Elephas maximus indicus: one gene and its partners. The protein of the gene in region 2 binds, or shares a complex with, the protein of the main gene of each other region. Links are inferred from orthologs where the notes say so. Each region holds a gene or a part of one and is shown on either strand. Other genes may lie near its edges.

Region 1 (9,709 bases), on a different chromosome or scaffold from region 2:
GCAGCTCAACCCAGAGGATACGCGGTGAGCACTGCCGTCTTGCATAAGAAGAAGGCAGGAATGTTGTACTGCTCGAACATCAGCTCTGTCAGCTTTTCTCGCTTGGCCCGAGTGTTCCACTGGGGAGAAAGTGCAGGAGGGGAGGATTCAGAAAGGGAGAGACACAGATCCATGTACACCCACACTAACACACACACACACATATATACATGTAACTTGGACTGGAGGACAGAGGTCACACCTCTTGACCCACATAGACATTAAAAATGTGAGAACTACAAAGATTTTTAAAGATCATAGTCCAAATTTAACTGAGGGAAGCAAAGCCCAGAGAACAGAAGTAACTTGCACAAGATCACACAGAAAGTTCTTGGCAGAGTTGATCTAGAGTCACAGTCTCTTGAATCCTGGCCTAGTGCTCGTCCTTTTACAGTCCTTCTCCCAGCCCCCAGTACATCTCTCTTCCCCATTCTAATCATCTCAGGGGCATGAACATTGAGGAAGACAATTTCTGGATAAAATAGTGGATTGAATAAAACATATTTTTATTCCCTTCCAAGATCCCATCAAAATTATAGTAAAGGAGCAATTTTAAAAGACATAAACCCTCAAATGGCCAACAAGCACATGAAAAGATGTCCAACATTATTCGCCATTAAGGAAATGCAAACCAAAACTACAAGGAGATACCACTCACACTAGGATGGTGATGATAATAATTTTAAAAACAACATGGAAAATAACAATTGTTGGCAAGGATGAGGAGAAATTAGAATGCTCTTACATTGCTGGTAGAAATGTAACATGGTGCACCTACTATGGAAAAGTTAGGTGGCTCCTCAAAAAGCTAAACATAGAATTGCCCTATGACCCAGCAATTCCACTCCTAGGCCTATACCCAAAAGAACTGAAAACACAAATCCTTGTACATCAATTTTCATTGAAGCAGTATTCACAATAGCCAAAATATGGAAACCCAAATGTTCATTAATGGATTAATGGATAAGTAAATTGTGGTAAATACATGCAGTGGAATATTATTCAGCCATAAAAAGGAATGAAGTACTGATTCGTGCCACACCATGGATGATTTTGAAAACATTATGCTAAGTGAAGTAAGTCAGACACGAAAGATCACATATTACATGATCCATTTATATGAAATATCCAGAATGAGCAAGTCCATAGGGGCAGAAAACAGATTGGTGGTTACCAGGGCTGAGGGGAGGGAGAAATGTGGTGTCATTGCTTACGGGAAGCTCAGTTTCTGTTAAAGGTGATGAAAAAAACTTGGAAACAAATAGCGGTGATGGTTGCATAACATAATTAATGTCATTAAATTGTACATGAAAAAATGTTGAAATGGCAAAAGTTTTGTTATATATGTTTTTAGCACAGTAAAAAAAAAAAGTGACACACAGGAAATAAAGAGCTCTTGGAAATGAAAACTACAAGAGCAGAGATGAAAAACTGAATAGATGGGTTGGAAGTAAAGTTTAGGGAAACTTCTGCAAATTAGAGCAAAAAGATAAAGAGATGGAAAATAGAAGACAAAAGATTAAAAATAATAATAATGGGACCAGTTTAGGGGGCAAAAAATCCAAGTAACAGGATTCCCAAAAGAGAGAACAGAGGAAATTGAAAGAAATGTACCGTCAAATAGGTAATTTTTAGATTTTTCACTGAACTGAAAGACATGGTTTCCAGATTGAAGGGACATACTGAATGCCTAGAGCAATGACGAAAATAGACCCATATCAATACATATCACTGTGAAATTATAGACTATTGAGGACAAAGTGAAGATTCTATAAACTTTCAGAAAGAAAACAGTATCACATCACAGGATCAAGAATCAATGGCTTCAGCTTTCTCAATGGTAGCAACATATGCTGAAAGATAATGGAAAGTTGTCGTTAAGATTCTGAAGAAAAATTATTTCCAACCTGGAGTTTTATACCTAACCAAGCTATTAATCCAAGGTCAGACATGCAAGGTATCAAAAAAAATTTACTTCCCATGATCTTTCTAAAAAAGCTACTGGAGGTTGTGCTCCATAAAAACAAGGGAGTAAATCAAGAGAAAAAATCATGGGATACAGAAAATGGACCTCTACTACAGGAAAGAAGAAAAAGAATTCCTCAAAATGATGGTGAAGAAAGATGCCAGGATGACACCTATGTCCCATGTGTAAAGGGTTACTAGTCCAAAGTGGAGCAGGTCAATGGGCTCCTGGAGAGATGTCTTCCAGATGATGAAATTGATAGACTACCTAATGGAATTAATGTCTTGAGAGGAGTTACAGATTACTGATGAATAATTTAGGGACATGTTATTAATAAGTAGATTAAAAACTAAGGAAAATAAAAACCAAGACAATTTTCAGTTCTAGAAAAAACAAAAAGTTTTTCAGGAAAGGAAAAATAATCATGGTTTATTGCCTGTCCCAATCCTTATTACCATACATTGTAATAAAGTGTAAACACTGAATATTGACCTTAAAAAAAAAAACTAAAATACAACTATATATAAAGGTGGGGAATGAGAAATGTGTGTGGTGTGGGTTGGGGAAGGAAAGAGAAGTAAATACTAATTTCCTGTAGTGGGAAGCTCATAGATAATGTCTAAAACTAAAAAAAAAATATTCACAAGCAGCAATTTAACCATGATATTTAGAGATATGAAAGGAAATACCAAAAGACTTAGCTAAATGAGATAAAAGCTATGCCCGTTGGAAAAGCAGAAATGGAAGGAACTACAGTTTTCTTCTTAACATACTTTATGAAGCAAACTGACTCTTTATGAGCATACATAAGGTTGACAAAAATATTAAGTTAATGTTGGCCCAGGACAGGAACCATTCCCAAAGCCAACTCTTCAGACAGGGATCAGACTGGACAAAGGGTTGGAGAGGGATGCTGGTGAGGAGTGAGCTTCTTGGATCAGATGGGCACTTGAGATTATGTTGGCATTTCCTGCCTGGAGGGGAGATGAGAGGGTAGAGGGTTTTAGAAGCTGGTGAAATGGTCGCAAAAAAGAGAGTGGAGGGACGGAGCTGGCTGTCTCCTTAGGGCGAGAGCAATTGGGAGTACGTAAAAAAATAGCAAGGTGTATATAAGTTTTTGTGTGAGAGACTGAGTTGATTTGTAAACTTTCAATTAAAACACAATCAAAATTAAAAAAAATTAAGTTAAAAGTTCAAAAAAGGACTTTTGGTGGGGAAAGGGCCGCAGATAAGGCTGGTTGGGGGAAGGGCAAGTGGATAGAGCACGGGATGAGGAGAAATGAAGACTAAGGCAGTAAGGAAGAAAAATGGTTGAAGATCTATGGGGTTGGAAGGAAAGCCTAAAAAGGGAGGAGGTGGCTTGATTGATGGGGGCAACTTGAGGTGACAGCTGAATGGCGGAAAGGAAGCGCCTGGGTCTCAGGGCCCGACTAGGAGCTGGACGAGGCACTTACCGGCGCCTCGGACATGAGCACTGGGTGCAGATTTGGCTCAGACTTGACGTGTTTGCTGTAGGTGTGATCCAGGATGGCACGGAAGCACTCCCAGTCCTCGACTGGGGCCAGGAGAACAGCGTGGAGAGACAGTGGAGGGCAAGCAGCGGTCAGAGGACCGGAAGGAAAGAGGAGGGAAGGAAGCCAAGTCCAGGGGAAGGGAAGTGGGACCAGTTCCGGCAGAAAAGCCTCTTTCCCAGGAATCTGGCAGCCCCTGGTTTGGGAACCAGGCAGCTGTGGGAAACAGTGAGGGGTCACTGGGACTTGGGCAGCTGTAAGGAGTACTCCGTGGGTGTGGGTGCTGTGTCCCGGGCCGTGGGGAGTGAGCTCCGGGTCTGTGTTGGGAGGCAGTGGGTGGGGCCCCTTACTCATGCCGTTCTTGAGGGGCGACATGACCTCCGCTCCATCCCGAGGCACGTGCAGGGCGTTGGTGTCTATGTGGAAGATCTTCCCTTTCTTCTCTTTCTCCCCCTCCAGCTCCAGCCCGCCCCCCTCCTCCGCGGCCAGCAGCCCCACCGTGGTGGGGAAGTCAGCCTGAGGGGGGAGGATGGGCAGGGAGAAGGATCACCCTGTTGCCCTGGTCCTGCCCCACTGCAAGGCCCTCAGCCCGCCAGAGGTTTACGCCCACATTTCCCTCTGCAGAGCTTCTCTGCGAGTCTGTGAGAGCCCTAGGTCACTGTAAAGCCTGGAGGGGAGTCCGGAGCCCCTAGGATTTGGGAAGGGAGCTGGAAGACTCACCTTGGGGCAGTCCTCCCCAGCGTACCCAGCGCGGACTGAGAAGGAGCCAATGTCAAAGACCAGCGCCCCCACCTCATCTGTGCGAGGAGACAGGCTTGTGAGGGGGCCTCCTCCAAACTCTCTTGCCTGGACACCTCCGAGAGGAGGTCAGGGCAGAGCCACAGTCTCGCCACCTTCATCCCGCGCAGGGGCAGGTGGGAGCTCAGCCTGGAATCCAGGGTGCTGAGAGTGGGAGTCAAGCCAGCCAGAATCCCGTCTTGCTGAGTGGCCTTCTTCAGGCCACTGTCTTTGGCGGGGAAGGAAGGGGCTGGGGTCCCTGAAGAGGTGGGTTGAATGGTAGAGAGTTTGGCCCGGAGAGCGAGAGGCGTCCGGGAAGGACTAAAGGCAGGGGTGGCATGGGACCCAAGCCCTGGGCTGGGCCCTCTCGAGCGTCGAGTTGACAGGCCCCAGGGTGCCTGGAGCTTGGGTCGCGCAGGTTCGGGCCTCAGGGCTGCGGGCGAGGCCGCGCCGGACTGGAAAGCCCCAAGCCCGAGACTCGCTCACCTCCGCCGTAGACGCCCCCGCTCATAGTGCCCTCTCAGCAGCTCGCGGCCCGTGGGCGGCGGCGGGATCAGCACCGAGGCGTCCGGACAGCTCCCGGGATCCCGGGCGGGGGCGGGGCGTGAGGCGGCCAATCGGAGGGCCAGATCCCCCGCCCCCAACGGCGCCGCCGATTGGCTGCTAAGCAAGACAATAACCCCGCCGGGGGCCGCTGCTTTAAAGGGGCAGACTCCTCAACATCTGGCTGAGGGGAGGAGGTAGGGGAACAGCGAGGGTGCAGAGACCGACCATAAGAGATAGGCCCACACAGTAGTAAAGAGATGGACACCCCGCCCATTCGGAGACCAGCACTCCGGTGGGTGACTGGTGGGGCCCCTGCTCCTTTATTTGTTTAAAGGGGACAGGGGAAGAGGGCGCCATAGTCCTGGAGAGTCGTCCACCGTCTTGCTCCAGAGCTCTGGTCCGCAAAGCCCAGGCCTGAGAGAAATCGAGGGAGAGGGAGGGGAGGGAAGAAGAAGGGAAAGAGGTACGGGGGCGGGGGGGGGGGTGGTGCGTGTCTTCGTCCTTTCCCAGTGTCTTTCCACCCCTGTCTTTCTGATGGCTTTCTCTTTTTCTCCCCTGTTCTCTGATGCCTGGGCCTCACACATGCACATGTGTACACACACATACACATGCGTACACACGCATACACGTGTGCATACACACACATACCCACTCACACATAGGACCTCAGCTAATCCAGCCTTAGCTTCCTTTCCCAAGGCTTCTCTCTTCAGCCCGTTGTTCTGCTCTGGAGGCATTTATTAAGCAAGTTGGTTTTCTACTGGGAGGTTTCTAGCCTCTTCTGGGCTCCTGGCATGACACCACCTCCACAGTGATTTTAATAGTGAAGGGAAGGAGCAGTGCTGACAGCCTGGGTTAGCCAGAGACTCTTGTATGATCATTTGTGTGTAGCTGTGTGCTTGTATGTCCATGTTTATGTGTGTTGGTATATGTGTGCACGTGCATACGTGTGTGTATGTGTGTACTTATGTGCATGCGTATACATGTGCATTGAGGGCCTTTCCATCTGCTTGTTGGCGGGGGGAACGTTAAGACCGGAGATGACAGAGAGAGGGAATTGTGTGACTGCCACAATGCCCCTGAAGTTTCTGCTCACCAGACACCCACTCTGGAAGAGGTCTTACCTTTCCCCACCAGAAGGACATTTGATCTCAGCTGGCTTAGTGGCTCCCTACTGGTAACAGTGACATCTTATGTGCCCTGGATTGGTTGCAGGCCCAGGTCTGGATCACCAGGCTTGGAGGGGTCCAGTCTGCAGTGGGAAGGGTCAGATGTAGGGGAGAAGGCACTGACCCAGGAGCTGGGAGATTGAGACTCTCCTGAGTGACCCTGGCCAATCATTGGCCTCTCTATAAATTGAGGCCTGTATGAATTGAATGAGCCCCTAAACCTCTTAGAGCCTGCATTTCTTCATCTTTCAAAGTGTTGAAGTGAGGAGTAAAGAACACCAAAGAATTTGATTCATGGCCTGCATGGCCTGTTGACAATGGTGTTGCTTCACCTCCCATGTGAGTTCACCTTTTCAATTCCCCTGCACCACGCCCACCCCCAGATTCAGAAATTGCCCCAATTGGGAGAAATTTTAGTGATCATTGATCCAATCTGTGGATTTTACAGGGGTTTCTTCAGATAGTGGCAGGGCCTTGTCTTGGTCCCACAGCTCACTGGGCGCAGAGCCAGGACTAGAATCTAGATCCTCTTATCAGCCAGTTGAGAGAAGACCTTGTTTCATAACAACTCTGTGTTCCTCTTCAAGCTTCATTGTCCTCCATTGTAGAACACCTGGTGGTGAGGACTCAATGTGATACCATAGTCAAGTGTCTGGCTAAGAGTAGGGCGACAGGACTACTCCATAAAGACTGGGTCTTCAGAATGTCCCTGGGGAGATTTTGAGGCTTTAATATTATAACGCATAAGTTAGAAGTCTTTAGACTCTCTGGTAATGAGAAGAGAATTTTATTCTCAAGGCTGGTGAAAAAGCTACAGTCTTCTAAGTATAGGACTGAATTGGTTTATGTCCCTGTCAACTGTAGCCAGTTTTCATTTGTCATGGGATCTGACATGAGATTCTACTCTATTATGGAGGTGTTTAAGGTGAAGGTAGTTAGTGTATTTAATTTGTTCATTCATTGATTCAACAAACATTTTTTTATGCTGACTGTGTTCCAGGGAACATGCTAGGTGTGAGAATACTGAGGTACATAAGATAGATTCTTGCTCTCAGAGAGTCTTGGTGCAATGGGGAGCTCAGACATGAATGAAAATGAGGTGCAACAGAGGCCTAGAGGATGGAGGGACTGTCTCTGAGAGTCCAGAAAGGCTTCTAGAAGTGAAGTTTGAAGTGAATCATGAACTATGCAGGTAATGGCATGTGCAAAAGTGCTGAGACATGAATATTTCTGACATAAGGGTTTATGTGGGAATAGTTAGGAGCTCAGTTTAGAAGGAGGGTTGGATATGAGTTGGTGGGAGAAAGTAGCATCAGTGGGGAATGAGATTGGAAAAGTAATCAGAGGTCAGCTCCTTTATTTAGCAAATTCAAAGCATCTACTATGTGCCAGGCACTGTTATAAACACTTTACAAACAATAAGTCATTTAATCCTCATAACGTGATTATTATCCCCATTTTGCAGATGGGGAAACAGAGGTATGGAGAGGTTAAGTGACTTGACCAAGGTTATGGTTGTTGTTAGGTGCCATCTAGTTGATTTCAACTCATAACAACCCTACGTACAACAGAACAAAACACTGCCTGGTCCTGTGCCACCTCACAATCATTGCTATGTTTGAGCCCATTGTTGCAGCCACTGTGTCAATCCATCTCACTGAGGGCTGGCTGAGTTATCTTGGGCTGCTCTAACTAAATACCACAAGTGGATGGCTTTAACAAACATAATTTTATTCTCTCAAAGTCCAGGAGTCTACAAGTTTGAGTTAAGGTGCCAGCTCCAGGAGAAGGCTTTCTTTGGAGCAAGGTTCTTTCTCACGAGGAAAAGTCCTTGTCATCAATTTTCCTCTGGTCTAGAAGCTTCTCGGCACAGGAATCCCAGGTCCAAAGGACACATTCTGCTCTGGGGCTGCTTTCTTGGTATATGAGCCCCCTGTCTCTCTGCTCACTCCTCTTATATCTCAAAAGAGATTGACTTAAGACACAATCTAATCTTTTAAATTGAGTCTTGCCTCATTAAAGTAACTGTTGCTAATCCCATTTCATTAACATCATAAAGGTAGGATTTAAAACACCTAGGAAAATCACATCAGATGACAAAGTGGTAGACAATCACACAATACTGGGAATCATGGCCTAGTCAAGTTGACACACATTTTGGGGGAACACAATTCAATCCATGATGAGAGTCTTCCTCTTTTTCATTGACCCTCTGCTATACCAAGCATGATGTCCTTCTCCAAGGACTGGTCCTTCCTCATAACATGTTCAAAGTATGTGAGACAAAGTCTTGCCACTCTTGCTTCTAAGGAGCATTCTGGTTGTACTTCTTCCAAGACAGATGTGTTTGTTCTTCTTGCAGTTCATGGTGTATTCAATATTCTTTGACAACAGCACAATTCGAAGGTGTCAATTCTTGTTTGGTCTTCCTTATTCATTGTCCAGCTTTCAGATGCATATAAGGTAATTGAAAATACCATGGCTTGGGTCAGGTGCATCTTATTGCTCAAAGTGACATCCTTACTTTTCCACACTTTAAAGAGGTCTTTTGCAGCAGAGTTGCCCAATGCAATGCATCTTTTGATTTCTTGACTGCTGCTTCCATGGGTGTTGATTGTAGATCCAAGTAAAATGAAATCCTTGACAACTTCAATCTTTTCTCTGTTTATCATGATATTGCTTATTAGTCCAGTTGTGAGGGTTTTTGTTTTCTTTATGTTGAGATGCAATCCATACTGAAGGGTGTAGTCTTTGATCTTCTTCAGTAAGTGCTTCAAGTTCTCTTTGCTTTCTGCAAGCAAGGTTGTGTCATCTGCATATTGCAGGTTGTTAATGCTGTTTTTCTCCACTTCTGATGCAGCATTCTTCTTCATATAGTTCAGCTTCTCGGATTACTTTCTCAGCATACAGATCGAATAAGATAAATGCTTTGCAAATAATAAGACATTTAATCCTAATAACGGCCTAATTATTATACCCATTTTCAGCTGGGGAAACAGAAGTGTAGCGAGGTTAAGTGACTTGCCTAAGGTTACCCATCTGGTAAGTGCCAGAGCTGGGATTTGAACCAAAGCATGTGAAAAATGCTTACCCTGGGGCAAATGTTGTCATGCTTTTATTCATTCCATAAATGTTCCCTATGTAATGATAACCCGTTAACCAAACCCGTTGCCATCAAGTCAGTTCCAACTCATAGCAACCCTATAGGACAGAGTAGAACTGCCCCATAGTTTCCAAGGAGTGCCTGGTGGATCCAAACTGCCGACCTTTTGGTTAGCAGCCATAGCTCTCAACCACTATGCCACCAGGGTTTCCTATGTACCCGATAAAAAAAATAGGCACTGGGAATAAAATGGCTCATAAAACTTGATCCATAGAGTTTATTGTTTATCCAGGAAGATGGATGATGAAACAATTAATTCAATAAAGTCAGCTGGAGATTCTCACATTTCATGCCCGCATTCAGACTGGCTGAACCTGAGCCCCTGGTAATGATTCCAAGGTGGCAGGAACAGGCCCTCTGATCCTACAGCTTAGAAATGAGTTGGCATCTTGTGGGGACCTGACCATTGCTTGTCGAACTCTCACCCAGCCATCTGCCAGGTAAACCAAGTTCCTTGGCTTCTCAGGGAGCCCCTGGCCTAGTGCAGGTGGCAAATGCCCAGGAATAAATAAAGGCTGCAATAGGAATGAAGCCAGCA
Region 2 (10,460 bases):
TTAATAATCAGAACTGGGAAACCCAGAAGGCCATTGCTGAGTCTTAGCTTGTAATCACTGCACATGACAATGGGCACACAACCAGTGATGAATCACAGGTGAAGACCGGTGTTTCTGGTCTGTGTGGATAAGAAGATGGTGTCATTAACCTGACAGGGAGAAGAGGAGCAGGTTTTGGGGGTGAAGTAATGAGCTCATTTGGGGAACACTGAGTTGGAAGTGTTTAGCCAGAAATGGAGAACAGTCTGGAGCTTAAGACCAAGAAGTTCAGACTAACAATGTGGACATGGGAGCTGTCTGCCCAGACGTGATCAAGAAACTTTAGGAGTAAACACGAACACTAGAGGAGAAGGCTAAGGTTAGGACCTTGGATTTCCAGAAGTAATCTCGAACAAAACCTAGAAAGTAGATGTATGATAAAGTTAGCTAATGTTGTTTCAAGTTTTTTTTTTAAGTAATTTTGAAGTAATGAATCATTGACATGTGGCTCATAAACTAGCTATGAAGGAGTTCCAGAAACGTTTTGTGTAATGACATCACTCCCTGGAACAAGTGTAGGTGGAGAACATTTCAGTCACAAGTCCTCTAATGATTTGCTTTACAGGATAAACTGCAGAAATCCAAGCCTCTTAAAATTTGGAACAAGTCAACAACCTGGAAGGGGATAATATTAAATTCTTGTTAGATTCCCCTCATGTCAGCTTTTTTTATACTAGTCACGTAAAAGCTGAAAAGATCATTATGGGGTGGCATTAGCTAGTTGCTTATAAAGGTGAGGAGAAAGAAGGCAGGAATTAGGCCATCATATGGAAATGACCAGCCTGATTATGCAGGTATCTGACTGGGAAGAATTAAGAAATTAGGTGAGGGGAAATGGGTAACTTTGGTTAGGCAGGGTATGTTGGTGAAAGGAATTTGTGTTTGATCAGATGGGGAGCTGAAGTTCCTGGGCAGGGGAATAATATGACGAAACCAGTGTTTTAGAGCAATCGCACCAGTTAGTATAGGGTGGATTTAAGTGATGAAACTGGGGCACCTTAAAGGTCATTGTAACAAAGACATGAATTAAGATGAAACAATAATTGGTGAGTGATAGGCACAGGAGAAAAGAAAATGTCAGATAATTCTTAAGGTTAAACACTAGAAGAAACTGAGAGAAGAAAGGGTTCAATAGAAATGGAAAAGTTGAAAATGTGATTCTGGGAGAGAAAGAGAAGTTTTGCTTTCATTTTAGGTGACAGTAGGCCAGCTCTGCAGACACACAGGCAACAGGAGATACAGGATCATGGTTTGGCTGAGAGGTCATGCCTGGAAAGGTGGCTTGAGATATTAGGAGAAGGGAGAAGAATGGAGCTTTGGCAGACTTCACAAGAGGGAGAAAATAAATGAGGCAGAGAAGCAGTGTCCTGAGGAGAAAATAAAATGTCTTTGAGGCCTAATGAGAGATTTTTAAAAGAAATTATTTCAAACATAGGAAAAGATCGAGAAGACTATTGGATTTGGTTGATGGTTTCTATTAATGTCTAAAAATTTTCAGGAGGCAGAAACCAGATGACAGGGTATTAAGGTTGCACGGAGCTGGAGGCACAGCATATTTTATTTGAAAAGGTAAAGTAGACAACAACGTGGTGATTTGGAAGTGTCAAGTGGAGGTGGGGTTTTGTTCTGAATTCATGAAAGCTTAAATTAGCAGAGCAGGAGAATTTGAAGGTGTTATGAGAAGAATGGTTATGGAAGCTTCCTTAGGAGATTGAAATGAGCAGGAGTGCAAAGTGGAGAAGATAACTTTAGGGCAGATAAGGCCAAATACTGTACACCAGGAACTAAAGAATGCCAGTGAGTGGAATGTAGTAAATATGTAAGAGTGGTGAGAGAAAGGGGGTGAGATCATGCAACACAACGATACAGGGATAGAGGATTTGCTGGGGTGGAAGGGAAAGGGGGAAGGAGTCGTGGGTGGGCCAGGGGAGTCAAAAAAATTTAAAATTATCTATTGTATATGAAGGGAGAGGTGTTGGCCTCTAATCTCCAGAAGTTACAGAGGAAGTACATGAGAGTGAAAGGGAGAGTCTCCAAGTAACAACCTATGCCAGACTCTCCTTCCCCATCCAGATCCTCCATTTTGTAAGCCATGGATTCCTCCTTTCTCTCTGCACAACAGCATTATTGGTTGCCCTCTGCTGGTCAGTTTTGGTATTGGCTCTCCAGGTATTTAAATCTGAGTGCATGCACAAAAAGAGATTTGCTAGGAAGTAGAATACTGAGTTTATTACTACTACTGAGCCTATTAATTCACTCAGTACATATTACATCATATCTATGTATAAGGCCATTTAGATGAGATACAAAGAAAATATAAAGCCTCAAAAAGCTTATAATCTAGTCTGAGTCAAGATTAAAACATGTACACGTAATTCTCAGTTCACTGTACTGTGGTGGCTTACATGCTGCTATAATGCTGTAAGCTACACCACTGGTATTTCAAATACTAGCAGGGTCACCCATGGTGGACAAGTTTCAGCAGAGCTTCCAGATTAAGACATTGGGAAGAAAGGTCTGGAGGTCTGCTGCTGAAAATTAGCCAATGAAAACCTCATGGATCACAACAGAACACTGTCCAACTCACTTGCTTTGGACATGTCATCATGAAGGATCAATTGCTAGAGGATGATGTTTGGTGAAGTCGTGAAATAGAGGGCCAACAAGGGTATAAGAGACCCTTGGTGAGATGGATTGGCACAACAGCTGCAAGGATGGATTCAAACATGCTGGCTGTTGTAAGGATGACACAGGACTGGGCAACATTTGTTTGTTGCACATGGGGTCGCCATGAGTCGGAGGGGACAGCAACTAACAACAACAACATGTAACTACTGTAAAAAAATCCATTTATTCAACAGTTTTTTAATTGAATGGCTTATATGTGCCAGAGTTTATAGTCTACCGTTGCATTCCACCGGGGAAAAAAGACTTTAAATAATAGGGCATAGGATGTGATAAGCATAGGTAGTCCGGAGAACCAACATTTAAGTGGAGACTGAGTAGAAGGTGAGGATGAGAAAAAGCATTTCAGGCAGAGAACAGTGTGAACAAAGCCATGTACCAGGAACTTAAAGAATGCCAGTAGCCCTCACAATTATCCTTACTTCCAGATAAAGGCCCAGAGAGGTTAAGTATCTTGCTCTAGTAAGTGGTGGGCCCAGCCTACAAGCACTCTTAAGTGGACAGACCTGAGACATATTTAATCAAACCCAAAACCAAGTCCACTGCCATTGGGTTGGTTCCAACTCATAGCGACCCTATAACGACAGGGTAGAACTGCCTCATGGAGTTTCCAAAGCTGTAAATCTTTATGGAAGCTGACTGCCACATCTTTCTCCCACAGAGCAGCTGGTGGGTTTGAACCACCAACCTTTTGGTTAACATCTGAGCCTTTAACCACTGCACCATGAGGGCGTCTGTTGAGAGATATTTAGAAAGTAGGATATACAGACTTCAGACAGAGCCCTGGTGGTGCAGTACTTAAGAACTAGGCTGCTAACCAAAAAGTTGGCAGTTCAAATCCACCAGGCACTCTCTGGAAACTGTGGGGCAGTTCTACTCTGTCCTATATGGTTCCTATGAGTCAGAATCGACTAGAGGAAAATGGGTTTGTTTTTTTGGTATGTCCATACGTATTTATTTTGCAGAGGTCTGTCAAGCGAGATGTCCTGCAGGCAACTCATTGCATGGTGGTGGTACCTGTTAAACCCATTGCCGTGGAGTTGATTCTGACTCATAGTTACCCTATAAGGACAGAGGAGAACTGCCCCCTTAGGAGTGCCTGGTGGATTCAGAACTGCTCACCTTTTGGTTAGCAGCTGTAGCACTTAACCACCACACCACCAGGGTTTCCTATGGTGGTGGTGGACTGATTACAGCTGGAGTGATCAGGAGTATCAGAGAGGAGGGGCTTAAAGAATGTGTAGGATTTTGGAAAGTGATCCTGGAAAGAACGGCATGAGCAAAGGTATGAAGGTGAGAGGCTCCGAAGTATAAATGTGTAGAAAGTTCTATGAGTTATCCTTGAACGCCTTGCCTTGCGGAGACCCTTCCTAAAGATGATGCTGTTATGCAGGAAATAAATATATAAAAAGCACACCCTCAATGAGCTCTTTCCCACAATCAGAAATTAGGGGATAGGAACAGCAGGGTAAGGTGAGTGCAGGATGGTTAGAGATTTGAGAAGAGATTAATGCCCTCGCTTGGTTAATACACATTTAGAACAGTGCCTAGCACATACTGAGCACTCAATAAAAAGCAACAGTTATCTTCCAGCACCCTGGCTAGATCTGCAGTGTTTATGTTTCAATAGGCTACTCCCTCCTAGCCCTGTGATGCCTGAAGTACACTTCCTCAAGGAAATCTAAATGAAAGAATGCCCTGTTTCCTGGGTCCTCGGTGTAATCAGACCCACAACGCACAAGGTGTGATTTCTGGTCATGAAATTCAGAGGTGCCCTCTTTTCCTGGAAATCCAGGTTTAACAATCATTACAAAATAGGCACTCACACACATTCCCAAACAAAACTGAAACAACCCTTCTTTATCCAAATCCTTTTTTATCCCCCCCCCTCAGGAAAATGAAACGCTTTGCTAGCAAACCTGGTTATAGAATTCTGAAAGTGCCTTGCAGCCTAGCAGCCAACGCAGTTGTGCATAAATTTAGCTTCCCGTAAGCCCCCATCCCCCAAATCCAGGGGTGAAACCTTTCAGCTTCCTTTTTCGAGAGGGAAAGGGAAATGCAAGAAAGACATGTGCGGGGACTGGGGCTCCCTTAACATGTCGTGGAAAAAAAAAAAAAAAAAAAAAAGCGCCGCCGTCACGAACAGGATTCGAACCTGTGCGGGGAAACCCCATTGGATTTCGAGTCCAACGCCTTAACCACTCGGCCACCGTGACTCCCAAAACCGCGCTCCGCCGTGCGCTTACAGAAGGGGTCCGCATTGCGACCGGGGAAGAACTGCAGTGAGAAGTGGGACCCCGACCCATCCACACACCCCCTATATCCCTCCGGCTCCTTACCTCTCCTCTCCGCCACTCAAAGGAAAAGGGTCGGTGGACGGGCTGATAAGGAAGGTCTCCCGCCTAGCGAAGAGTCAGGGTCTCAAGGAGCGCAAACCTGCTTAGGAGGCGATGGCGAGGCCTGAAGAGGAAGCGGTTGGAGGGAAGGGACTGGGCCCCCACGGTGGCGGCTAGGGGACTCCTCGGGCTAAGGAGTAAGAGAAAGGTCCCGGAACAAGGTGTTAGGGGTGAGAACCTCTGGAAGAGTTTAAAGGGGAGTTCCTGGGGATGGATGGAAGGAATGTATTGTGGAAAGGGGTTTGGAGTTCTTTGGGATTATGGACTCTGGGGTTACGGATGTGCAAGGAAGGAGAGGACAACTCCAGGCTGGGATTCCTCAGGCGACGTCCTAGAAGTAGGTTAGAGACGTACCCCATCCCTCGAGCTGAGGCAAAAGAGAGAAAGGGCTTCGCGTCAGGTAAGGGGCGTTTTCAGGAGAGTGGACGCCCCCTCCAGGAAGCAGCCGCTTCCCAGGAGGCCCCCGACGCTGCTGCCGCCGCCGCCGCTGCCGCCGGGGAGGCCGCCGGGTCTGGCCCGGCGCAGAGCCTCTCCGCCGCCGCCGCGCCCGGCCGGCCGGCAGGGGGCGCTGCGCGGGCCGGGGCCGGCCCAGGCGGCGGGAGGCGGCGGCCGCGGCGGCGGGAGGCGGCGGGAGGCGGGCGGAGGAGGAGGCGGAGGAGGCGGGAGCTGAGCTGAGCGGGGCGGACGGCGGCGGCGGGCCCGAGCCCGAGAAGATGGCGGTGCGGAAGAAGGACGGCGGCCCCAACGTGAAGTACTACGAGGCCGCGGACACCGTGACCCAGTTCGACAACGTGCGGCTCTGGCTCGGCAAGAACTACAAGAAGGTACGCGGCCCGGACAGGCAGGGCCGCGCGGGAGCCGGGGGCGGGACAAAGGCGCTGCGACCCCGCAGTCCCCCGGGCTCCTGCCCACCCTCCTGCCGCCCCCGGCCCCTCCCCCGCGACCTCCGAGCAGCTCAGCGCGCCCTCCGCCCCGCCCGGCGCCCCGCGCCCCTCCCCCAGCCCATTTTACCCCCACCCCCAGCCTCGGATTCCAGCCCCCGCCCCTACTGCTGCGCCCTCTACCCCTTGTTTTTCTCTGCTGCCCCGGCGGGCCCCGGTGCAAGCAGACCACCCGCTCTTAAGCCACCGGCTTCCCGCTTTTCTGGGAGAGAGGCCCGGGGGGAGGGGGAGGGGGCGGACGGGGCACCCAGTGGGCGCCCCCCTAACGCGCCCGCCACAGTGCCGGCCAGAGCTCCCCACGGAGCCAGGTACCAGGAGGGCTGAGGCCTCCCTGGTGCTTTGTGTGTGTTCAGAGATGATGAAAGCAGGAGCGTGAACAGCCACAGAGCAGGCCCCTGGCTGATCATCGGCCTGAAATAAGGCCCCCATCTGGGGATCACCTGTCTCCACCGCTCATCCCCCAGCCTCCATCTAAGAGGCACCAAAACCTCTTTGGGAACCAGGGTATAGGAGTTTCTAGGGAGCGGCCTCTAAAACCATTCCTTGGCTTCACAGTGAAGGCATCCAGCATCTAGCCTTGCATTGCCATGGGTTTGGAGTTCAGAGGCTAGGACAAGCCTTATAACTAGCCTCCCACCATCAACCCCATGAGTGAAGATAATAAAGTAGTGAACAAAGGACTCAAGAAGCCTTACCTGTCCTGTTAGCAAACCTTTTCCTAGTGTCTTCTTTGTCTTTGGGCCTGGTAAAAGGAACGTTTACATATAGGGTGTTTCGCTGGAGATGGTCTTTGCCTCCTGTCTTTCCCATTACCCCCAATTAGGGCTCTCTTTCTACTTTCCAACTCTTCCTGTCCAGCCTTGCAGCCTGTCAGAAGTGTGATGGGTAGACTTCCCCTCTGATCCTGGCTATGAGTCTGGCCCTGTTCTCAGGGTCTCCCTGGGTGTCGGAATTCTGACAAACAGCTGCTGGGTCTGTTTGTGGCCTGTCTGCACCTCGGTGTGAGGCTCTGGTTCCCAGGCTTCTACCTTTGACCTTTTGGAAGAAAGATCAGGCTAGGAGCTTTTAGTCTGTGGCCCTGGAGGAATTGACAGTCTGTGACCTGGTTCAGCTTTCATGCTCTTAGCTCTTTGTTATTTACCTTTTCCTTCACTGATCTCTTTACACCTCCTACTGAGAGGAGTTCTAGTCTCTGTGCTTAGGGTTCAGGAAACAAGGGTCAAAAGGTAAGAGAAAGTTAACCTCTGGATCGGCTTCAACTAGGACAGAAAGGCTAGGATGCTAGACAGTGTAGTATGGAAATGTTTAAGTAGTCCCACGTTTGTTTTTGTCAGATATATTTTCCTCAGAAAGGAAAGATACCGTCTTGGTGTTCCCCACCAGGCAAGTGCTGGTCCTTCCCATCAAGGAGGGCCTACACCAAGCCTCGAAGACATTTGTGCCCAGTTCCTATTACAATCAAAACATACAAGCTTTTTCTCAGTCTTCTTGCCCTACCTCACTTCCTTGTGTCTTTCTCATTAGGCTAATTTTAGGGGGGAGTCTTGACCTTCCACAAAATCCCTCCAAGAAATAACACTGTGGTCATGTTTAGTGAGCCCTGTAGGCATTGCTTCCATGGCCTGAGCTCCATAAACCTTCAGTTATTTTACAACCCTCTGTGTTGTTGGCTAGAAATCAGGTGCCACGATAACAGGGTCCTGCAAATCATATTTCAGGATATAGCTGAGGGAAGAGTAGGAAGCTTCCTTCACTCCCAGCACCCAACACTGGCAATCTGTGCTGGTGGCAGCAGAATTTCATCTTCCTGGTTTGGGATGTCCAGGGCCTCCTTTCTGCTGTTTTCTTTACCGAGACTAGACATCTGGCGAGGAGAGCACTATTTTCTCAGCTCCAGATGCTTCCAGAGCACCTGTGGAAGAATCTGGGAGATGGTGGACCTTTTATCTAAGGTCATTTTCCTTTTCTTTCCTTCTCTTTCCTCAGTATATACAAGCTGAACCACCCACCAACAAGTCTCTGTCTAGCCTGGTTGTACAGTTGCTACAATTTCAGGAAGAAGTTTTTGGCAAACATGTCAGCAATGCACCACTCACTAAACTGCCGGTGAGTGCAAAACCAAGGGGGCAAATCCTCCAAACTGGAGAGGGGGTTGTATCTTTTGCATATTTGTAAATTTCCGGATTTTTGAGATCTGGGTAATTTACTGCCATACCTGCCCCTAGTTAGGGTATTACAGGCTTGACCTAGTCCCCAAGTTACCATTCCCTTTGTCTTAATAATACTTTGGGCAACAGGTTATCTCAGAGCATCTTGGCTCAATCCACGAAACCCTCATGGCATGGCTAAAAGTGTATGAGGTTTGGATTTGCACAGGCTGGTGTTCAGATCCTGGCTCTGCCACTTGATGTCTTAGTGGTCTTGGGCAAGCCACTTAACCTTTCTGAGTCTTGGTTTCTTCATCTCCAGATGAGAGTAATAATAGCTACCTTGTAGGGTTTCTGTAATGGTCAGTGAGGTAACCTAGTGAAGTGTTTGGCACAAGATGGTGCTTTGTGAATATTGGGTTCTTTCCCTTCCCTCTTCCAAGCCACATGATACAATGGTTAAAGAATTCCAGTTTTGAGAAGGAGATCAGTCCAGCATGGGGTAGAAGGAAAGGATTGTTAGGTGATAAGAGAATTTAGGATGTAACTCTCACATACTTCTTCCCTGTCTCAATTTTATAGATCAAATGTTTCCTAGATTTCAAAGCAGGAGGTTCCCTGTGCCACATACTTGCAGCTGCCTACAAATTCAAGAGTGACCAGGGATGGTGAGATGCCTTCTCTATGCTTCTTCCATCTAGTTTAGAGGGAATCCGCCTTTATAATTCTCTGGGGCCTTTTGGGGGCTGGGAAGGCATAGGCAAAAATTCTTGTGAGTCTCTCACTTTGCTAGGTCAGTATGCCTGAGTTAGAAGGTCAGAAAAATGGCTGAGAATCAGAGGCAAAATAGTCTCCAAGAGTGAGTGAGTATATGTGTGTGTGTGTGTATGTATGTGTGTGTGTCAGTGTGTATATTGTAGAGGGAAAGAAATTCTTAGGTTGGCATCTCAGTTTTTCTTTGTCCTTTTGGACTAAGCACAGGGTGATTCAAGGAGTTGAGCTCAGTGAACCCCAGATCCCAGGTCATATTGGCAAAAGCAAGATCACCTCCCAGTTTCCCATGTTAAGAAGTTGTATACTCAAACCTCGTCCCCAAACCTGAGCTATACCACTCACTAGATTATTGCCCCTTTACAAGGCGGCGTTACGATTTCCAGAATCCATCACGCATGGACCGCAACGTGGAGATGTTCATGACCATTGAGAAGTCCTTGGTACAGGTAATAGTCAAGAACACTCCGCATCTCTCTTCCTTCCCTCTGTGAGAAACACCCTTTCCCCATAATCTCTTCCCTTCTGTTTCTCCTCTCCACAGAATAACTGCCTGTCTCGACCTAACATTTTTCTGTGCCCAGAAATTGAGCCCAAACTGCTAGGGAAATTAAAGGACATTATCAAGAGACACCAGGTGAGTAGGTGGATCAGGGGAGATCTCATAAGCTCCATGACTTTCTCCCTGGCATATTCCACACCAAAAAGCAGCCCTGAAGTACCATGTTTTCTACTGCAGAGGTAGCCGTACCTACCTGGAGAAAGAATAGAGTTAAAGCCCTGAGTCTCTCTCTCTCCATCTGTTTTTCCCATTTCCCAGTCTTGACAGGTTTGGATCACTGTTGTTAGAGATTGCCCTGTCCTGGGGAAGAAAACATCCGCTTCCACTGAGCTAAAGGCCTGATTCTAGATAAATGAAATCCTTGTTCTTTGGAGCTTAGTAATAAACAAGCAGATGTCATGGATAGGGGACATACAGCCCACTTTAAATTTCCCATGTGTAGATTATCTATTCAGAGGATTATCTAGCAGTTTTTTAATTTTTTGACTTCTCCCCATTATTAGCACAGTCCAGCAGTTAACCTCTGCCGCTCTGGTGGTGTGTGCTTAGAGAATGCAAACTATCTTAAATACCATCCTAAGCAAAATATGATAAGGAAAGCAGGTCTGTGGTTAAATCTTATTTTGATGTATTTACACCGTGGGTAATTTAAAGGGGACCATATTTACATGTTTCTCCCTGTGCCATCCAGGGAACAGTCACTGAGGATAAGAACAATGCCTCTCATGTTGTGTATCCCGTCCCAGGGAACCTAGAAGAAGGTGAGACCTGAGTTGTCCTGGCCACTGCACTGGTTTGATGGCTTGGACCGGGAGGTGGAGGACAGCTCAGATCACCACACAGGGTCTGGGCTTCTCTCTTCTTTCAACCCTGAATCCTCCTACACTCTTAAGTTCCCATTACTGGGTACCCTGCTGTA
Region 3 (10,700 bases), on a different chromosome or scaffold from region 2:
TTTCTCAAATGTATCCAAATGCCGACTACGTGCATGATTACAAAAAGTTAGAGGAAGGTAAGTCTCTAGTTAAGTTGCCTCTAATTCCAGCCCACCTTATGGGTCCGAGCAGCTCCCATCCCAGGTGGTCTGCAGGCTGGGTTGTTTTCAGAGGTTTCCCCTATGACAATGCCTCCATTTGGGTTCTGGCAGGAATTAATATCATTTATGGGTACCTCGGAAACCCTGGTAGCATAGTGGTTAAGAGCTACGGCTGCTAACCAAAAGGTCAGTGGTTCGAATCCACCAGGTGCTCCTTGGAAACTGTATGGGACAGATCTACTCTGTCCTATAGGGTCGTTATGACTTGACAGCAACAGGTTTCGGGTTTTTTGCTTTGTTTTTTATGGGTATCTCATCAAAACCAGACATTCTTCTCACTGAAAACTGAAAAATAATGTGTGCTAATGAAGTTTGGCAAATTTAGGGCTTTTTTCCAGTGGCAACCAGAAACATTTGGAGATGGTCATTCTTAGATATCTGTTGGCTTAAAGTCTGAGGGTCCTTTTTCATAAGGGGCCAGGAGTATGTCCATAAAAAGTTACAAGTTCACGAAGTTCATACCCCAATGTTCCCCACTTAGTACCTACCCACATGTTCCTGCCCCCAACAGAAGGAGCTAAGTAGAGATTAAAACTTGGAATGTGTCCCCTACCCCTTACTCTCTGGTATCTAAACAGAATGTCAGAGCACGAGTGGGGTCTGGCTTCTAAGTGGTGTCAATTAAACAACTTTCACATGCACAGAACCACTTAGATTAGAATAAACTGTATTCCAATCATAGGATGTGTTAAGAGATGAAGATTTGAGGTCCATCTACACACAGGACCCTGTTTAACCTTAGCTATACTTTTTTATACTTTTAAGTAAGTATATTTATTTCTCCCAGAGTTGTGTCCTTGATTACAAAACAGGGATAAGAACACATACCTCCAAGCAAGGTTAAATGTTTAGGAAAGCGAGTTCAAAATACAATTATGTATATGTATAGTCACAGTTAAAAGCATGCCAAATTCGTTTACTGGTGTTATTCTCTATAAATAAATAGTTATCTGGGGTAAAGCCCTTTTGGTCTATATAGAATAATTAAATAATAATAACCGTTATTCTTTTTCTAAGCAGGCAGTTACAATAATAGATACATACATGCATAATCAAGTCTGGCAGAAGGTGGCAGACATTCCCAGTTAAGTGCATACAAACCAGGGTTTTGATAACTTAATAAAAGAGTAAGTTGCTTAAAGTGCTGAAAGCTGATTTATCTGAACTGGAATATTAAATAAGATTAGAATTTATATTAAAAAGCATTAAGGCTCCTTAATGGAGAAGGCAGTGAGAATACGAATATACGATGTGATTGACACAAAGTGCTATATCAAATCCTTATTTATGTTACCTGCATGTGTTTGCTTCACTACACAGCCCTTATCATGCATATGTGTGTAGGAAATAAGGGTCTCACACATCTAGGATTAGACAATGTAGCTGCTAAATTAAATAATGTGTAATATACATTTACACATCACACATGCCCATCAATTTTTTAAATTCTATTTGTCCAGATGTGACTGCTCAGTTGTGGGGCCACCTGCGGAGTCCCCTTTGTGATCTTATCAGCCTAGGCAGCTCCAGTTTCTGCCTCTAACACCCTGTTGCGCTGTAATAAGATGTTAAAGGCAACAACAGAGGGAGAAGGTAGGCTGTCAGCTTCAGAGGGGAAGGTGAAGACGGGTACAACAAGGAAGAATAAAAAAAGGAGTTGAAGGGCGATCAAAGACAGGCAGGAAGAAAGCCAAACTGCTAAAACAGGAGATGTGGCTTCAGGACATTAGGGCCCTAAGGAAGACCCCAAAGCAAGGAGACCCAAACAGTGTCATCCAGTTACCCCAGCCATTGAATTATTGAATGTCCCACATGCACAAAGCTAGTATAATGAAAAAATGGCCCATACTCAGGGTAAAAAGAGCCCTACAGAGGTGTTGCATGAAACCTGAGCTTGTTTCTTCCCAGCACATTTACCAACCACCACTTTATCCTCCAATCCCAGAGGAAACCTTTGTGTAACCAGCTTCTGTAGGGGGCGTCGGTGATGTTGGCTTTTTTTTTTTTTAAGGGAGGGGGAGACAGACTCACAACGCACAGAGAAAATGCTAATGTCGTTCAGCTCCGTTTCATTGTCAGGAGGGACACGTGAGGATAAAAACAGAGCTCTCCAAACCATTCTCCCCGCTCCCCCTCCTCCCAGCACTGCAATCCATCCCCTCCGATTGATGTGGCTCGGGCTCTACGCTTTGTTCTAATTTATCCCATGCATAATTGATTCACGTGTGTATTATTTCCTGATCAGCAACTTTTAAAAACAAATGAAATATATAAGATGTTTTATTAAACAAGTTGCTTTTGAAAAAAATACAGGCAGATGGTGTCGGTCTCCCAATGATAGCGTGTGTGCTCTTGGCGTTAGGAGTTTAAAAAGCGTCCAGGGTGCAGGAGGCTAGACTGGTCCCGGCATTGTTTACACTCCCTCACCCCCAGGGAAAGGGGTTGGGATGCAACTCCCACCTAGAAAAAGCAGGCAGGGGTGTTGTGTGTATGCGAGAATGTGCGCGTGTGTCGAGACACAGAATTACAAATACATCACATTGCAACTGTTTCTAATTACACAAAGTACGAGTATAATAATTCAGAACTAATTCCATTGATCAGCCGGAATTCGGCTACCCTCTTCCCGCCTCTCCGTCCCTTTTTCCACCCCTAACGTTACCCCAACACAGACACCCCCCCCTCAAAACACACACCATCCAGTGGTCAAAAAAAAAAAAAACTAGAGCAAGCAGGGGGAACCGCGGAACCGGGAAATATTGCGCCCGCGCGTAAGCAAGCGGGCTCCGGGGTAACAAGAGCACCGCTTTTCCAATAGGAAACCAACACGGTGCACATGTGAAACAGATTTCTCTAACTTGAGTTTACCAGGTGGTATCAGCCCCGCTATGTGAGTTCAGCTGGAAATGGGAAAACTGCAAATCTGCTGTGGATTTGGTAGAAACTCCCAGCATCAGCTGCGTAGCCGCGCAGGCGAGGAGCGTGGATGCGGCGAAGTTACGCGCATTTATTCTGCCATAAAACATTTTCTTTCTTGGGTGAAACGCTGTAACGTTCAAGAGCCGTATATCCAAGCTTCCGTGCAAGAACCGAGGCCGAGAGGTCCTCTCGGATCAGCTTCAGCTTCCAAAGTCCTCTTAACGGCCGCACTCAATATATATATTTTAAACTCCTAGACATGGGACATTCCTACCCCTTTTCCTTATTGCTAGTGGGAGATAAGCTGGTGCAAACACGACCGATTCTCCCCGAGCGTTTCTTCGCTTTAGGAGCCCCCCTATGACCCCCCCGGTAGGAACCTGGCTTTTAACTCCGTGAGGAGCCCCGGGGGGGGGCGGGGGGAGCGGACGCTGATGCGCGGAGTTGAAAGAACCGGGGTCCGCTTCGGCCGCGCACAAGAGAGAATTGAACACGAAGCGCCCCCACTCGCACCCCCCCTCCCCTCGCTGGCGGGTTCCAGCCGGGCGCCGAAGTCCTGATCAAATGCGCACGGACCCCGAACCCACGTCGCGCTAGGAACCCGAGGGAGCCTCCAACAGCACCCTTTTAAGAGCGACGCTAGTTCTCGAGGCCACCCCCGGCTCGATGATCGCAAGCGGACTTGGCGGCTTAACAGTTCGACCGACTGGAAGGAAGGAAGGAAGCCAGGATGAAGAGGGGGAGGAAGGAAGGCAGGCAGGAATTAACTGTCGAACCCGGGGACTGGCCCCCGCGTGCCCTTGCCCAGCCCGCCCCCTCCGTCCCGGATCTGGGCGTCTGCACAAAGTCTCTCGGCGGCGGCCAGAGGCACCTGCCCCTCGCTCTGGCCGGGAGTAAACGCTGCCTGCTGGGGCGGGGAGCCCGGAGCCGCCTCTCCGCCCGCCTCGCCTTTTCACCCAGAGGAGATGAGAACACCATTCCTAAGACCTGCAGCTTCCCGGCCTCCGAATCAACCCCAAGTCAACCCGAGTCATTAATTTACTACAGCCAGTTCGCCCACAAACACATACGCAAACGCGCCCGCGACTGCCCGGAGCGCCGTCATGCTCCGGGGGCGGCCCCGCAGGAAAGCCCCAGGCAGCCACCTGGGCCCCAGAGCTCCCGGGACCTGCGGCTTCCCCCGCGGTCCTCCCAACTCCGGAAGGTTTGCACAAACTCCCCGCGAGCGATCGGAAGGCAGAGAGCGCCCTGCAAACTCCGGAGCCGCCGCGGTCCGCTGGCCCGAGGGGACGGAGCAGCCAGGCGGGGGCCGCCGGCTCCGGAGGCGTGGGGCGCAGCCAAGTGCACCGAGGCGGCCACTGCCCGGCTCGCGCCCCCAGCTCGGCCTCCCCCAGCTACGCACTTGCCGCCCCGCTCAGTAGGGGACCCGGGGTACCTGCCGTCCCCTCGCTGCCCACAATCCCCCTAGCTGTCGAGCGCGCGGGCGCTTGGCTCCCCTACCGATCACCCCCCTCTCGCTCTGTCCACCAATTAAGCAAAACACAAATGTAACAGTTTTCTTCTTGTTAATTGCATCTCCTGACATTTCTACGCGTAGGGGAAAAAAAAAAAAAAGATGAAGAAGTCAGAGCGGAAAGAAAAGAGAGAAGCCCTGCCGCGGCTGGAGGCGCCTGCAAGCGCAGTGCGTTGGCAGCGCTCCGCACGGAGAAGGCGCCTTTTTTTTCATACTGAAACCACGCGGAATATGTACATTTTTTGGTCTTACTTACGCTTTCAGGGGGTTGTGAATGACAGTCGCCATTTTGCTACAATGTAACAGAATATTGTCTGTCTCAGAGTTCTAAAGGTTCGCTCAGGGGAAGCGGCAGGCCAATCAGAGCACGGGATACCGGCCCGCCGGCCAATCGGCGCGGCTGGCCGCCAGGTGGGCGGGGCCTGCGCGGTGGTAGTTATTAGGGGAGCTGTCAAAGCCCAGAGGTCACTCCCTTTTGTAGAGCCGGAGAGCGAGCAGGTCTTAAAGGGGCAGTACCGCGCGAGCAACTCCTTTTCGGATTGGGGAAAGTCGAGACGCACTCGGTAGAGTATTGTAGTTTGGATTAAGTCGCCGCTTTTCTAAATAACTGCGGAGAGTTTGCGCTCCTGAGCATAACTATTTAAATACTGCGAACAAACTACTGAACCTCATCCATTAGCTTTTGGCTTGGCTAATTTTAATCCCCCAAAGGGCAAATCTACTCGTTCCCGTGCAAAAGTTGGAAGGCTCCCGTTTTGTCAAATTACTACACGTGTCTTGCCGTTTGCTAATACTCTGAGACCTGCGGTTTTTTAATATTCCAATACCCAAAATGGTTTCTTTAGCTCGGCCACCTTCCTCTCTCAGTGTCTTACAACTGCCTCTGCTGTTCCTGGCGACTCCCGGACAGCAACTCCCCTCCCCCTGGAATGTTTCAATGTCAGGCTTGCTCACTCCTGCAGCCAGGGCTTCCGTTACATAACGCGCGGTGGTCACACTGCGCGGTTCCCCACTACCACCCTTTCTGTTCTCCCCCTACACCAGAAACTTCTGAAATGATCACATTCCAGCCGGTTGGAGAGTTGAGGAGGACCTGGCGCTGTGACCTTTAGGCTTAGGGGTAAGGGAGGTTTAGGGAAACTTTTGGAAACGCCTTCTGCTGCCTGGAAAGCAAGTAACTTGAAGACGAGTTGTAGACTGTAGATTGGGTGTTGTAGACCTAGAGTCCCTTTCCGGGAGTGGCACAGGCGATTCAGGCGTCACCTTTCCTATTTAGATAGAAGGCGAAAAGAATTTGCTAATGAATAATCCGGTGTGGCCTGAGGCGTTCAGAGAGTCCCTGTCTGCTTCAAGTTGGTGTGAACTCCTCACTGGCGAGCCTCTGACAAAACTGGGAGACTTCTGAGAAGTCAGGCTCAGACTGGGCAGCCTGGAAGCTCCGGGTGGATGAAATCGCACTAAATCGTGAATAGGGCAGGGGCCTCGTTAGCATACAGAAGTCTGGCTACAGTCCCAAAGCTGTTTAATCAGGTCAAGTAGCTAAAATAGTGGGGGAGGGGCGACAAGGGGGCTGAGGAGATGCCAAATTGCCGGTTCTTTAAAGCTGTGCCCTCTCACTTCCTTTCTCAGGGCTCCTCTCAAAGCAGTGAATTAAAAATTAAAATAAACCTTCCAGAACTTTCAGAGTTCAGTTCCATACACTATTAGAGTTACAGATGAATAGAAATGGCTGAATCAGTATGTTTGTAATAGACTTGAAATATTTTAACTTCCTTCTTTCTGACTGGAGCCCTGGTGGCCCTGTGGTTAAGAGTTATGCTACTAACCAAAAGGTCCTTAGTTCGAATCCACCAGCCGCTCCTTGGAAACCCTGGGGGGCAGTTCTACTCTGTCTTATAGGGTCGATATGAGTCAAAATCTACTTGACGGCAACAATTTGGTTTTTGTTTTTTCTTACTAGTTAATAGTAAAATTACACGGATGCATTTGTGACTTTTTGTACAGCATCTTAGAAGAGATTACAGTCTGAAAAAGTTGTCTTCTCAAATTCAAGTTTGAAAAATCTCTTCCTTATTAATTTGCCAAGGGCTTAGTTCAAAAGTTTATACTTTGCCTGGAATGGGCCTTGACATCATTAAAAACCAGTACTATATACTCTGATGTAAGAAGTTCAGTCTTCTCAGTGAGTTTGAATTAACAGTTATAACTCCCACCAATCTCTTTGATTCGGATTGAAACCACAACAATTTGGATTAAAAAACAGCATATTTTAATCTATCCAGCTGTATAAAGGCAGGAGGTGTAGAGTCTGCCCTGAACTGGACTTCCAATTGAATGGAAAAAGTAAAGAAAAACAAAATCTACATGGCAAGTATATACTCTGAGCATGTGCATATAGTTGGTTCTGTTAAGGCCCAGCTGCAGAAACCAACATAATTCCTAACTACCCGGCACACTTGAAAATGGCAGACCAGATCCGCCTTCATTTTGAAAAAATGTTTAACCCAGAGCTTAAACATTTAAGTTACATTTCATGATTGAATTGAAAAGAATCATGAATTAACAACGGTAGGATTTTTTTTTAGAAGTAGGATATCCTTGCTTTTTGTTACCCAAGGGAATGTCATTTTAACTGTCAATGCAGGTATGACTTTTAAATAAACAGAATTGTGAATTCATCTTTTATCAGTTCTAAGACCTGTAAGAGTTATTATTTTTAACTTTTTTTTTTTTTAACAGATCTCTTTGTGTATATTTTACTGTGTTTCTCTAGGATAGATGTGGTTGCTGGTTGCCGTCATATTGATTCTGATTCATGGCAACCCGTGTGTGCACAGCAGAACTGCTCCACAGGGTTTTTAAGTTTGTGACCTTTTTGAGAGCAGATTGCCAGGTCTGTCCTCCAAGGCACATCTGGGTGGGTTCAAACAGCCAACCTTTCAGTTAGTAGCTGAGTGCTTAACCGTGTGTACCACCCTGGGATCTTTAACTTTGGTTTTCATCTTGTAGATCAAGATCTCTCTCCCATAAGGCAGTTTCCATCTGCCAGTTTCCCAAATAGGCCTTAAAATGTACGGACCTCTCCCACAAAAACATGTTTTTACCAGAATTCTGAAAAGCAAGAGGGCTTAGTGGACATGTTGAAAGGTGAAAAAAGCCTTGAACAATTTTGGAGAATGTAAAATTTTACATTAGTTTTGTGAAGGAGGGCTGTGTAGGGCTAGGAGTGTGAGCTCTGGAATCTGCCTGCCTGAGTCCACCACTCATCGGCTGGGTTATCCCGGGTAAGCTTACTTAGCAACTGTAAGGTCTTAGCTTCCTCATCTGAAAAGTGGCGATAATAATAGAACCTACTTCGGGCGGCTCTCTCCATAAATGTCGACTATTATTTTTATATACCCACCCCAGTGCCGTCGAGTCGATTCCGACTCATAGTGACCCTATAGGACAGAGTAGAACTGCCCCATAGAGTTTCCAAGGAGCGCCTGGCGGATTCGAACTGCTGACCCTTTGGTTAGCAGCCGTAGCACTTAACCACTATGCCACCAGGGTTTCCATTATTTTTATATACCCACCCATAGATATTAATCATTTCCTGATGGCATAGGAATGTAGGGTATCTGAATAAAAGGGCACAACAGGAGGTGAAACTGTTCACTAAGTTTGTTTTTTTGAACTCATTGGTCTAAGCAAGATGAGCAAATGAACATTCTGATGAGAAAAAAATAATAAACAGAAATTTTTCAGTTAGGGGTCATAGAACTTAAACTTAAAAATGTCCTCTTGCTAATTAGACTATCAGAACACTTTTTAAACTGCATTTTTAAAGTTCTGTTGATAGTCATTTACACACTCCTTCCCACCACAGCCCTTTCATCTGTATTTAGTTTAGGTAGCTTAATTTGGAGGGCAGATCTAGTACAGAATAACCACTTTCCTGTTTCACTTGGAGAGTCTAGTTCTGTGCTGTCCAATATGGGCACCACTAGCCACATGTGGCTATCGAGCCCTTGAAATGCAGCTAGTCTGAATTGAGATGTGTTATCAATGTAAAATGGGGGCAGGAGTGATTTCAGTGGTAGAATTCTCACCTGACGTGAGCAAGATTGGGGTTCAGTTCCCAGCCTATGCACCTCTTGCATAGCCACCCCGTCTGTCAGCGGAGGCTTACGATGTGTTGTTACAATGCTGAACAGGTTTCACTGGAGCTTCCTGATTAAGGTGACTAGGAAGAAAGGCCTGGCGATCTACTTCCAAAAATCAGCCATCGAAAACCTTATGGATCACAACAGTCTGAGCTGCAGCCGATCGTGGGGATAGAGCAGGACTGGCTAGCATTTTGCTCAGTTATGCATGGGGTCACCATAGGTTGGGGACTGACTCAATGGTAGCTAACAACAACAATATAAATGTGAAATACACACTGGATTTCATAGACTTAGTACAGAAAAGAAAGTAAAATACCTCATAAATAATTTTTATATTGAGTACATGGTGACGTGCTAATTTTTTATATATACTGGGTTAAAATATAAAAGCCTATTTCACCTCTTTTCACTTTTTTTTAATGTGGATACTAGAAAATAAAAAATTACACACATGGCTCACACCATATTTTTATCAAATAGAGCTGCTCTACACAGTGTGTATGACCAAGGAAAGAATTATGGGCCTTTCTCAATCATATTAGTTCACCCTGTGTCGTTATTAGTTGTCATCATGGTGGCCTCATGTGTGCAGAATAGAACTGCTCCATGGGGTCATCAAGACTGTGATCTTTCAGAAGCAGATCACCAGGCCTGTCTTCCAAAGTGCCTCTGGATGGATTCGAACCACCAAACCTTCGGTTAGTAGTTAAGCACTTAACCATTTAAGCTACCCAGCCACCTTCACCCTTGTAGCCTTCTCAAATTCATCCTTCGTGTCAATTAGCAAAACTCCCTCACTCAGCTCAAGTATGTGTTCAGTGCACCCATCCAAAGGAACATTTGGGTTGTGACTGAGGACCCAAGCATCTGAACCACAGGGGCACCCATCTCGGTTTACTCCTAAAAAGTTGAAGGCTGTTTCCGAAGACAATCAAAGCTACGAGGAGATGCCCATCCAGAAATATAGAAGAATGGCACTTGTGTAGCAAGTGCTGACCTTTCCAGCTGACTTTTCAAAGATAAATATGAGAAAGGAGACAAAGGCCTCACAAACACCCAAAGAGTTCATTTGAAAGAGGAAGTATGCCCACAAAAGCCATCTGAAATAAATGCAATTTCTGGTGGGCTCTGAGAGCTGAAGGAGTCTCGAGTCCAGTGGGTATTTGAAAAATAAGACCAAGCTCACCCTCAATCCCTCCATCCATCCACAGAACAATCAGTCGTGTCCATAGCAGCTGGTTGGCCATGGCTGGTTCCCTGAGGTCCAGAACCAGCTCTGGGACATTCTAGACTCTGAGCTGAAGAGGAACTCTTTTGAAGAAAAGAGGGCATCAAAGCCACAGCCTGCATGAGAACATAATGAATGTCCCTGAATCGTACATGTAAGAGTGGCTGAAATGTCAATAAAAATTAAATATGCACAGAGCCTGATTTTCTGTCTTCTTGGCGCTGTGGGGGCAGGGGTTCTCACTCCCTTCACAGTATCTCTAAACACAGAAAAACAAAGATGTCAAGTTCCAGGTCTGGGTGATGCTCCCAGGGCCAGGCCTCTGAAGCCACATATCTCTGGGGAGAGTCAGAAATAGAAAGCAATGTTTGCTGTTTCCACTAACTTAGTTCATTCATTCATTCATCCATTGGAGGCTTTCTATGAGGGAGGCATTGTGCTAGGCACAGGTGGCGAAACAAAAATAACCCAGACATGGAAACAACCCTCAAGAAGCTCTCCCCATCCATCTGGAGAGAGAATAAAGATAGTAGGCTCAACCCTACAAGCAAGCAGAGCAATTACTTGACGAAACTTAAAAAGGAAAGCGGCCTCTCCAGCTTTTCTCCTTTTCCTGGCTTGGTGCCCATCTTCCCAATGGACACATTCTTGGGTGTTTGAGTGCCTACTGTGAACACCAGCAGAGGTTCATTCGTTTGAGTTTTCAAAGTTTCAAGGTAACAGGATTTTTATAAATTAATATAAAACAAGG

The links.
Region 1: SMARCC2 (region 2) and ACTL6B share a complex: the UniProt entries of both Homo sapiens proteins name them as parts of the BAF complex. The link is inferred for Elephas maximus indicus from reciprocal best matches to the Homo sapiens genes SMARCC2 and ACTL6B.
Region 3: SMARCC2 (region 2) and DPF3 share a complex: the UniProt entries of both Homo sapiens proteins name them as parts of the BAF complex. The link is inferred for Elephas maximus indicus from reciprocal best matches to the Homo sapiens genes SMARCC2 and DPF3.

The regions. Positions count from the first base shown.
Region 1 is NC_064830.1:92,063,819-92,073,527, forward strand, and holds the start of ACTL6B (actin-like protein 6B), read right to left. Parts: upstream 4,862-9,709; 5' UTR 4,805-4,861; coding exon 4,780-4,804; intron 4,314-4,779; coding exon 4,237-4,313; intron 4,033-4,236; coding exon 3,867-4,032; intron 3,561-3,866; coding exon 3,460-3,560; intron 120-3,459; coding exon 22-119; intron 1-21. UniProt on the Homo sapiens protein: Involved in transcriptional activation and repression of select genes by chromatin remodeling (alteration of DNA-nucleosome topology).
Region 2 is NC_064822.1:116,159,436-116,169,895, reverse strand, and holds the start of SMARCC2 (SWI/SNF complex subunit SMARCC2), read left to right. Parts: upstream 1-5,764; 5' UTR 5,765-5,833; coding exon 5,834-5,944; intron 5,945-8,047; coding exon 8,048-8,167; intron 8,168-8,790; coding exon 8,791-8,876; intron 8,877-9,346; coding exon 9,347-9,428; intron 9,429-9,523; coding exon 9,524-9,616; intron 9,617-10,232; coding exon 10,233-10,302; intron 10,303-10,460. UniProt on the Homo sapiens protein: Involved in transcriptional activation and repression of select genes by chromatin remodeling (alteration of DNA-nucleosome topology).
Region 3 is NC_064828.1:85,702,156-85,712,855, forward strand, and holds the start of DPF3 (zinc finger protein DPF3), read right to left. Parts: upstream 4,862-10,700; coding exon 4,830-4,861; intron 1-4,829. Other genes in the region: non-histone chromosomal protein HMG-17-like, read right to left, coding at 5,922-6,077. UniProt on the Homo sapiens protein: Belongs to the neuron-specific chromatin remodeling complex (nBAF complex).